Linked DNA regions of Neodiprion lecontei. The protein of the gene in region 1 purifies or fractionates together with the protein of each later gene. This does not show direct contact. Links are inferred from orthologs where the notes say so. Each region holds a gene or a part of one and is shown on either strand. Other genes may lie near its edges. The genes, in order: AP-2 complex subunit sigma and F-BAR domain only protein 2.

What was found.
Region 2: the proteins of AP-2 complex subunit sigma (region 1) and F-BAR domain only protein 2 purify together in Homo sapiens (co-immunoprecipitation; 3 studies listed by BioGRID and IntAct, counting the BioPlex papers as one, with this or other methods). This does not show direct contact. The link is inferred for Neodiprion lecontei from reciprocal best matches to the Homo sapiens genes AP2S1 and FCHO2.

Annotation. Positions count from the first base shown.
Region 1 is NC_060261.1:36,413,372-36,417,401, forward strand, and holds AP-2 complex subunit sigma, read left to right. Parts: upstream 1-2,263; 5' UTR 2,264-2,406; coding exon 2,407-2,409; intron 2,410-2,618; coding exon 2,619-2,768; intron 2,769-3,012; coding exon 3,013-3,186; intron 3,187-3,286; coding exon 3,287-3,388; 3' UTR 3,389-3,470; downstream 3,471-4,030. Other genes in the region: trafficking protein particle complex subunit 6b, read right to left, coding at 103-228. UniProt on the Homo sapiens protein: Component of the adaptor protein complex 2 (AP-2). Adaptor protein complexes function in protein transport via transport vesicles in different membrane traffic pathways.
Region 2 is NC_060264.1:36,304,206-36,309,158, forward strand, and holds the start of F-BAR domain only protein 2, read left to right. Parts: upstream 1-1,692; 5' UTR 1,693-2,022; coding exon 2,023-2,052; intron 2,053-3,619; coding exon 3,620-3,931; intron 3,932-4,098; exon of another isoform or gene 4,099-4,368; coding exon of another isoform or gene 4,369-4,371; intron 4,372-4,427; exon of another isoform or gene 4,428-4,594; intron 4,595-4,699; coding exon 4,700-4,953. UniProt on the Homo sapiens protein: Functions in an early step of clathrin-mediated endocytosis. Has both a membrane binding/bending activity and the ability to recruit proteins essential to the formation of functional clathrin-coated pits.

The DNA.
Region 1 (4,030 bases):
TCAAGTAAGTTTGACATATGTTTTTGCAGACGTCCAGGAACGCGATGTAACTGTGAATCTTTGGGATGTTGGTCAGTATATTTAAACTGTAGTATAACTTGCCTTGCCGTTTGTTTTTGAACTCAGAACGTAATTCACCATTTCGGCATGCAAATATTCGAATAGACACTCGTCCGCTTCCCCGGTATCAGGGAGGTTTGTTTTTGTGTCAACGTTTTGCTGCTTCATAACGCAAACGATGATTTAATGGACCGTCAAGAAATAACAACGCCGATTATTGAACTTGCGTTCTGATCTGTCAAAGTGGCAATACCCAACACACTGTCAGTTTCGCCTTGTCGCTCACTAATAGCTGACAAATTACGATCGCTGATTGGTAAAAAATCTCTCAACTTTACATTTATTTTTTGTAATCTGAATTAAATTCAGTTTTTGATGTTTTATTCTGTTTATGGGTAGGTATTTGTCGATGATTCAACTCTAGACGTCAAATATCAAAGCTGTGTTCATTAACTACTGCTTTTCCCCATTGAATAAGCAGCTTTAAGGACGGTCAGCCAAAGGTATTTTTGCTAAGGTCGTATGCGAGGAGAGTCGACGCCACGGTCGACACAAAGCTACGTCGATAATGGAAAATACTTCTCTATCACTAGCATGGGCGATCGCTTACAGAAACGGCACCCTGAGATTCTCTAGAACTTCCGCATAATGACCATGATACAACTGCGAATGGCCAAAAAACTTGTAATATGATCCGTACATTATTGAAAATTTTCACTGCATACTATGAACAAAATCGACAATAAAAAAATTGAGATTTTTACAGGATTGTTTTCTAATCAACGTCTAGAAACAAAGAATATATCCACATGCCAACTGCACTAGGTACCCAACATTTTTGATATAGGTATTTTGCACTGATTTAGATATTACAGATCAGTGGTCCTTTGCTGTCGAGTTTTGCACAACTGGAGGTATTCGTCGAATGCTTAGCTTATTCTCAGAATCAGAATGCATCAACTACACGCTCTGAGTACACGGTCAAATTAACAAAAAATTTTATACTTTTTTATGTATGCGTGAAATTAATATAGGAAGCATGTAATTATCGAATATAAATCACAGACGATACAACCAGATGTAAAACATCACACACGATGGTATGACGTCAGGTTTTTCTTTACCATTCAATAAAATATGTCAATCAATAATAAAGTTTATCCCACAAATAAACGTCTTTTAGTGGTTCAATGTAATTATCGAATATAAATCACAGATGATACAACCAGATGTAAAACATCACACATGATGGTATGACGTCAGGTTTTTCTTTACCTTTCAATAAAATATGTCAATCAATAATAAAGTTTATCCCACAAATAAACCTCTTTTAGTAGTTCAATTAAGTCGATTGACAAGCAAGCACCATCCAACTGGAGAGAGGATTGATTTAAATGGAGGCAAAACGAGCGTATCGTCAAGTGATATCACAAACCCTCACGAAATTCATCTTAATGACAACATTTTCAGTAATAACTCGACGCCAGTACGAACATACCTATACTTGATACGTTACACAAAGAGACAAATCATATATCAGACTCACCCTTACGCCAAACGCCTGCAGAAAATCACGGCGCTCGTCGCAAATGTGAAGTTTCACCACTGCACTGCACATGACAATTGAAACGTTGAATAACAATTGTTCCAAAAAATTCTATAAAACTGATACTTCACTCACTGGTTCACCACTATTTGTTAGGGATCATGTACACGTGAAACCGATGATGCTGTAATCACAACGTCGTGGTTAACTTCAAGTAAAGGAGTATTGCACTGATTTCACTATATCTTTTCTCCTCCATTTTGATTAAAATTTTTAAAAGCGCAGCAATTCAATCGCGAGTGTCATTTGTTGTGCGTGAATGTAGTATACCTACCATAGACGTTGACTGAAGAATATACACATAACGCCGTGTTAAGTATTCAATACACTCGGTATAAATATCTGAAAAGAATCGCAACCTCGTAGCCGGCTGGTCAATAAATTATCGCGAAAATTGCCGAATTAACTCTACCACACAATCAAGCACAGCAAAATTCGCGCAGTTAACTGCGTGCTTGTCGGCTCGGCCGCCCTCGATCGTTTGTCAGGTGGTTCGGCGTCTTCGGCGTTCGCTCACCAACAAGATGGCGCCGGCTACCGAAGCGCCAATATTGCTCCGTGGCGCTACGGTGACACTAAGCGACGAACAGCCGAGAATTTGACTTGAAGTTGTCTGATCTCATTGCATTTTACACGCGTACAGATAGAATACTGATAAAGCAGGAGGGCGGACTTATCACACGAACCTAAAAAGACACTTGATCGAAAGTGTCACCTGTCATCTGTCACCCTCAGAGATAATGGCAAGTACTGCATGAGAATACGATCAAAATTTAATACAATTCAGCGAGAGAATTTATGTTTATTTGATTCCGTGCACCTTGATTAAAGGTTCAACTCAGTATCCAGAATTACGTTATCTCATTGAAATCAATATTATTGCTTGTTTATAAAATTTTGTCAGGTCCGTACAACGCTAGCTTGATCGTTTCTGATTATACATTTTTCCCAGATTCGATTCATCCTAATCCAGAACAGAGCGGGCAAAACTCGTCTTGCCAAATGGTACATGAATTTTGATGACGATGAAAAACAAAAGCTCATCGAGGAAGTTCACGCCGTCGTCACTGTTAGAGATGCTAAACACACCAACTTCGTTGAGGTTCTACAAGTTCATTGGATATAATATGTCTATAATTTCTTAGTTCAGTGCAAAGGAGCTTATTTTGTTTCGTTAAATAGTTCGACGCTTGATTCGTACAACAGTCACAAAGAAGGCTCAAAGTACATCTACTGATAATGAAAAGATTCCCAATTCTGGTTCAAATTCTGACACACTGAAGAAACTGTTTTTTAAAAATTGCTTTTCCTATGGTTGGCTTGACGCCTATGTATCTTGGTTTCAGTTCCGAAACTTCAAGATAGTCTACAGACGATACGCTGGCTTGTACTTCTGTATTTGCGTGGATGTGAACGACAACAATCTTTGCTACTTGGAAGCGATTCATAATTTTGTGGAAGTCTTGAACGAGTATTTCCACAACGTTTGCGAACTAGACTTGGTGTTCAACTTCTATAAGGTACTTTATCCTGCTGAAAAATTTTACAACGCATCTCATGTAGAATATTTAGTCTGTTGTTATAATAGTCAATCTCCTAATAATACCATTGTAATTTCAGGTGTACACTGTAGTGGACGAAATGTTTCTTGCTGGTGAAATCCGAGAAACTAGCCAAACCAAAGTTCTTAAACAGCTTCTCATGTTGAACTCCCTCGAATAATAAAACAAAATACCATTCCCTTAGAAATGTTCTGTATTTGAAAATCTCTCTACAATACAATCTCATGCTCCATTTCTTCTTACACCTCAAGTTTTGTTTCACATTTCTTTCAAAAGTCCAGCAAGTTATCTTTTTTGCAGCTTATACAGAATTCTTCTGTCTTACCGCTGGTTGATATCAGTAAAAGGTGCAACGTCCACTGTTCTATGTCGATAAGTTAGTTAAGCACGGTTATCAGGTTCCTACTTTATCAAGTGCTTGACTGCACACAGAACTCGCGATCACGAAGTGATCTTTAATTTTTTCTCAGAATAAATTGGAAAGAAAAATCTAGGGTAATTATACGAACGCCGAAAATATCTCAAACCTTACGACATCTTGCCGTTATGACGTCACTCTTTTAATTTCCAATAGCACGACTATTGAACTAGAAAGGACAGAAGCTTAAAATTCGATTTAAATTGTATTACAGATAGAAATTTGGAAAAAATGATAAAACATTGAAACATTATGTAGAGCCGGGATACAACAACAGATGAAAATACTAATTGATGACAATTTTCGCTACACTTATTATGAACACTGAATTGAGTTCGATAACATTGTGAATAGTCTCATTATATCAATGTGCTTCGGTATATA
Region 2 (4,953 bases), on another chromosome or scaffold:
AACATTTTAATGTGACGCTAGTAGTTGTCTGACGAGCTTGCGCGCGGTCAGCGAGGGCAGCGAGCGTGTCAGAAGTCTACTAGCGCCACGTAGAAGAATTAAAAAACGGGGACAAACCGCGTACAATTTTTTAGTATATGAGCAGTGGTGAGTGTCAGGGGGCTGGTCAGTTCACGTCCGAAACAAAAGTACATCTTATGGCCACAAAAGCGGCGCTACGAGTTATTCATATGGCTTATTATTATTATTTGGCGGAATCCTAACCAATCTTTCCGATACTCATGCACAGATAACCTTACGTTGTAATCACGGAGTAGTAGGAAGGAGACAACACTCGAGCAGCACTTGGCTCAAAAGCTGGCCCAGTTTTTGGGGCAAAGTAAGAAGAATTGTCAAGGTGCGATTTAAGCGCCTCTTGCGGTGTAAACCCGTACAACGCTCTCCCCCCTTCACCCTATGTTACAATCACGTTATAATTCGCTGTTTGCCGAGACCACGGTCGTGTATACAGGTCTTGTAACTCGGCCGGTTTTATGATGGCGGGGGTGTCCCGCTTAACGGACTCTTTTTCAATAGTTTGTTCTATTACCGCATAAGTCGTTGAGATCGAAGATCGTGCGCCTCCATTAACACCCGTATTCATAGTCCCTCCTTATCTCAAGGATAAAGGAACCCTTGATGAAGGCTTCCTTGAATCTCAGAGGCGTCCTCGTTTCATAGTCACAACTTGGCTCTCCCTTCCAGAAGGAAGACATATTAAGGATATGTGATTGCTTATGGTGGTAAAACAGCTGATCGAAGCGCCACTCGGCTATATTTAAATCTAACTCGAACAGATTAGCTCTCATTGGGAGCTTTCCAGCAACGACACAGAGCGACACAGAGCGACACTGTGTCGAACAGGGTACTTTCCAACAACGACACAGAACGACACAGTCGGACACAGTTGCGGAGCATGGTTGGACACTGTGTCGGATTCATTGCTGCCAATTTTTTAGTTAGAGATTTTATTTTCGACGCATGGTATTGTTTATATCTATTTATTAAATGCAATGATAGTCTACACGCGTTTCACAAATGTTTTTTTTTCCTGGAGCGCTCAATGTTCCTAGATTTTTCGTATAATGCATGAGCGGACTATAGTGACTGAATTAAGAACCTCAAGCGTTCCAACAAGCACCAACAAGTACCAAGGCACAGTGTTCGACCGTGTAACACAGTGTCATACTGTGTCTCCTTGCTGGAAAGCTCCTATTGTCAAGTTGCGTCGGTTGATGAGAGTGTATAACCTCAAAGAAGTTAACCTGTAGACTGGCTGTGACCGCGTCATACGGGTCATAAGTGCATAGACGTCAAGCGCAAGCGCAAGCGTTGGCTACATGAAACGAAACAGCCAATCGCAATGCCGAAGGTTTCCTCAAGGAAGCTCCAGACCTGCCTTGAAAGAAGGAGGCCAATAAGGCTCCTTATTCTGTCGAGGAAGGTCTATGAAACGTGAAATGAGGAACAAGGAATCCTTGTTCCTCAAGGAAGGACTATGAATACGGGTGACACTCTCATCAACTGACGCAACTTGACAATAGGGGTTTTCCAACTGCGACACAGAGCGACACAGTTTACGGCATCGGGTGTTCCAACTACTACACGGTGTCTCACGGACGACTCTCAGAAAAGTTGTGTTTAACCGTGCAATGTATGTCAGTTTTGCCAATGCTGTAGTTCTGTAACCAAAAAGAAACTGGAAAAAAGAGAATGTTTAACGTTGTCAGCGTTGTGAGACAGAGTCTGGTAGTTGTGTATCGTCGACTGTCGTGACGTGAGGTTCTATCGGTTCTGCGGATCGTCGGTGGTCAGGGGCTGGTTAACTGTATTCATATCCTGAGCGCAACACAAATTGAATTACATTTAGTGTTCATCAGTTGATGGCGAGAGGCGTGGCAAGAAGTGCAGCATAGCGTGGTGCGAAAGTGGGCGACGGTGAGGTTCAGAGTGCATAACATGACGGCCTGACATCCACTCACCATGACCGTGGACTTTGCTGATTATTTCTGGGTAAGTGGTTGTGCTTTTGCAAACGTAAACGAGAATTTTCGCCCTCCGCTCCGCCCATCAGGTTATGTGTCGATGCCCACCGCGTCACTGCGAAGATGCATTGTTCTTTGTTTCCGTTTTCTTGTCCACTTGACAGTACTTTCGACGATCTCAGCCTTCTGTCAATCACTTTCCTATCGTCAGTCTTGAATTTCTTCGCCTATCGCTCTGCTCTTCCCGTCTGTGTATACGTTATTAACTATACCTACCATCATACGTTTATTTGGGCCCTGCAAGAATGACCGAATCACAACATCGTCGTATGAATTCCTTAACGTTACGAACGTTGTAAATACCGGAAGCATACAGATAGATGAAAACGTAGTCAACATGTCCCTATGATAGTGATCATTAGCGATTTACGCCAGGCTTACGAATTGTGTTGGGACTGTCGAGTTACGCGATATACTACGCGCGGCTCGAATGCCCAATCCTCTATCTATCTTTCCCGCTCGCTCTTCTTACTCTTGCTCTTCCTCTTGCTCTTTCCTCCTCCTACAACTTGAGTTTCATTCGATTTGTTAATTCGAAGTGGTTGGGAGTAGTCTCAGGCAGTGACTCTTGACTGAAATAAAATGCCATTCACAATAAACGCGACGATGGTTCCATACTTTTGCCTGAGAGTCACTGCTCCAGGCTACTTAACGTCATTCCGAATTGACAAATCGAGCCTAGGAGTAATACAGTTCATGTTTCAGCTTTCATATGTACGCAATATCCTGATATATATGAGCGTGCGTACAATGAGACGAAAGAATTCCTATACACTCAGCCCTTTACCAACGTTATTTCCATAATTACCCATTTAGCTTATATCAAACTATAAAGGTCTCAGAATTTTGTCTTCTACTTTTGCTTCTCTAGGCTGTGTCTTTCATTGGCAATTAAACAATCGATGTCAGGTAAGGTTGGGCACAAGAATTTTTTTGCAAAAATATTACAAACCCAAGATGTTTCCTAATATTCATCCTTTCTACGTCATTTATTATGATGAAAATTAGTGCAGGTAATGTTTTGATTTTAGCTACAATATGGAAGCCTCACACAAAATGTTCCCTAGGGGTTTTTAATTGTATAAGATAATAATATAGTATATAACAATACTAGTATATATTGTATAAGAAATGCAATAAAATAAAAGTGTATAATAATAGTAGTATATCGACTGATAGACGAGGGTCAATAAGCTAGGTGATCCAAATTAATTGCAGGTTCTATATTCTTTATTGTTCAGAGTTTATGGTGACTAACTGCACCACGTACCTATTACCCAGGAATGTCTCACAATTGACGTACATAATGAACGTTCATCAAATAGTTCCTATTGTCGCTGCAACCAGGATAAAATAACTCATTCGAAAATATGACTTTCATGTAGACAGCAATTTTCTATCAAAGATATAACTGTTACCTCTTTGTTTATGACATTGTATATATGACAAAGGGATGTATATTCTTGTTAGTCCTTAAAAAGCACATTCGAGAGATCATGTGTTGTTAGAATAATGAAATTTCTCCAAATCCATAGGGTGAAAAGAATAATGGGTTTGATGTACTGTACCATAATATGAAGCATGGGGCGATCGCAAGTAAAGAACTGGCAGACTTTCTGCGCGAGAGATCAGCAATTGAAGAAAGTAATTACAAGCTTCTGAGCAAAGTTGCCAAGCAGGCAAGTGGCAGTGGCGGCAGTCATGGAACTTTCGCCCCTGTCTGGGCGGCACTGCGAGGCGCTGCTGAAAAATTAGCTGGCCTCCATTTACAGATGGCACAGAAAGTTGGGGAGCTGATCAAAGATGTTTCCAAATATGCAGATGAGCTTCATAAAAAGCACAAAGTGGTGAGACTTGCATTAATATCGCAAATTCAGAGCTAAACTGATGTATTGATTATTTGTCGAGACCAATATTTTTTTTTAGTTTTGAAAGTAATGGATACACTATTGAATTCATATCAGTAGATTCATTTAACCGCTCTATGTCACAACTTACATTGTAATGTTTATAGCTTATGGTCACCCATAATTCCACAAAGATACACAGCAAGGAAAACTTATGTACATCTTTTATACAGACAAGTTCTCATAATGTGTCGATCTACAACATATAATTCAATGACTGAAACATCATCTTTCAATGAATGACATCACTTGACGCTCTAATGTGTTACTCCCGGTGCACAAGATTATCAACGATTGGCCTTGCTGTATAATTTTATTATCGCTGTTTTGATCCATCGTGCAATATTCCATTGCGCCATAAAGGAAAGTATTTTGGAATGGTGCGCAGCTATACTAGGAGCATGACATGATTTCTGCTTTTTCTCAACAATTGAGTCACTTCCCGAGTAAAAAATATCTGGCAACATAGCAGATGCCCTTCCTTTTGTCTCTGCTCCGTTCAGTTCACATTTTTTTTATCTCTGCAGTGGAAGCTTATCAATTGCCGCCCACTGTTCAGCCCCCAGACTGCCGTTGGTCGATTTATCAAATTTTCAGGCCAAGGTTCTCCTGCAAATGAATACAGTTCTGATACTTTCAAAATTATACATCCAAATTGTCTTTTACTTAACTGAATTATATTGATCGATACTAAAATTTAATGTTTAGGTGAAGGAAGAGGAATCTAGCACTCTAGATGTCGTACAAAGTATCCAAAATACAACAGTTACGTTACAAAAGGCAAAGGACATGTGTGTCCAAAAAGGTTTAGAGTTGGAGAAATTGAGAAAAGACAATGCCAGTCAACGAGAACTGGAAAAAGCTGATGCAAAATTCAAGAAATCTCAAGACGATTACAAGGCACTAGTGGAAAAGTATAATGCAATCCGCAATGATTTTGAGTCCAAAATGACTCAGGCCTG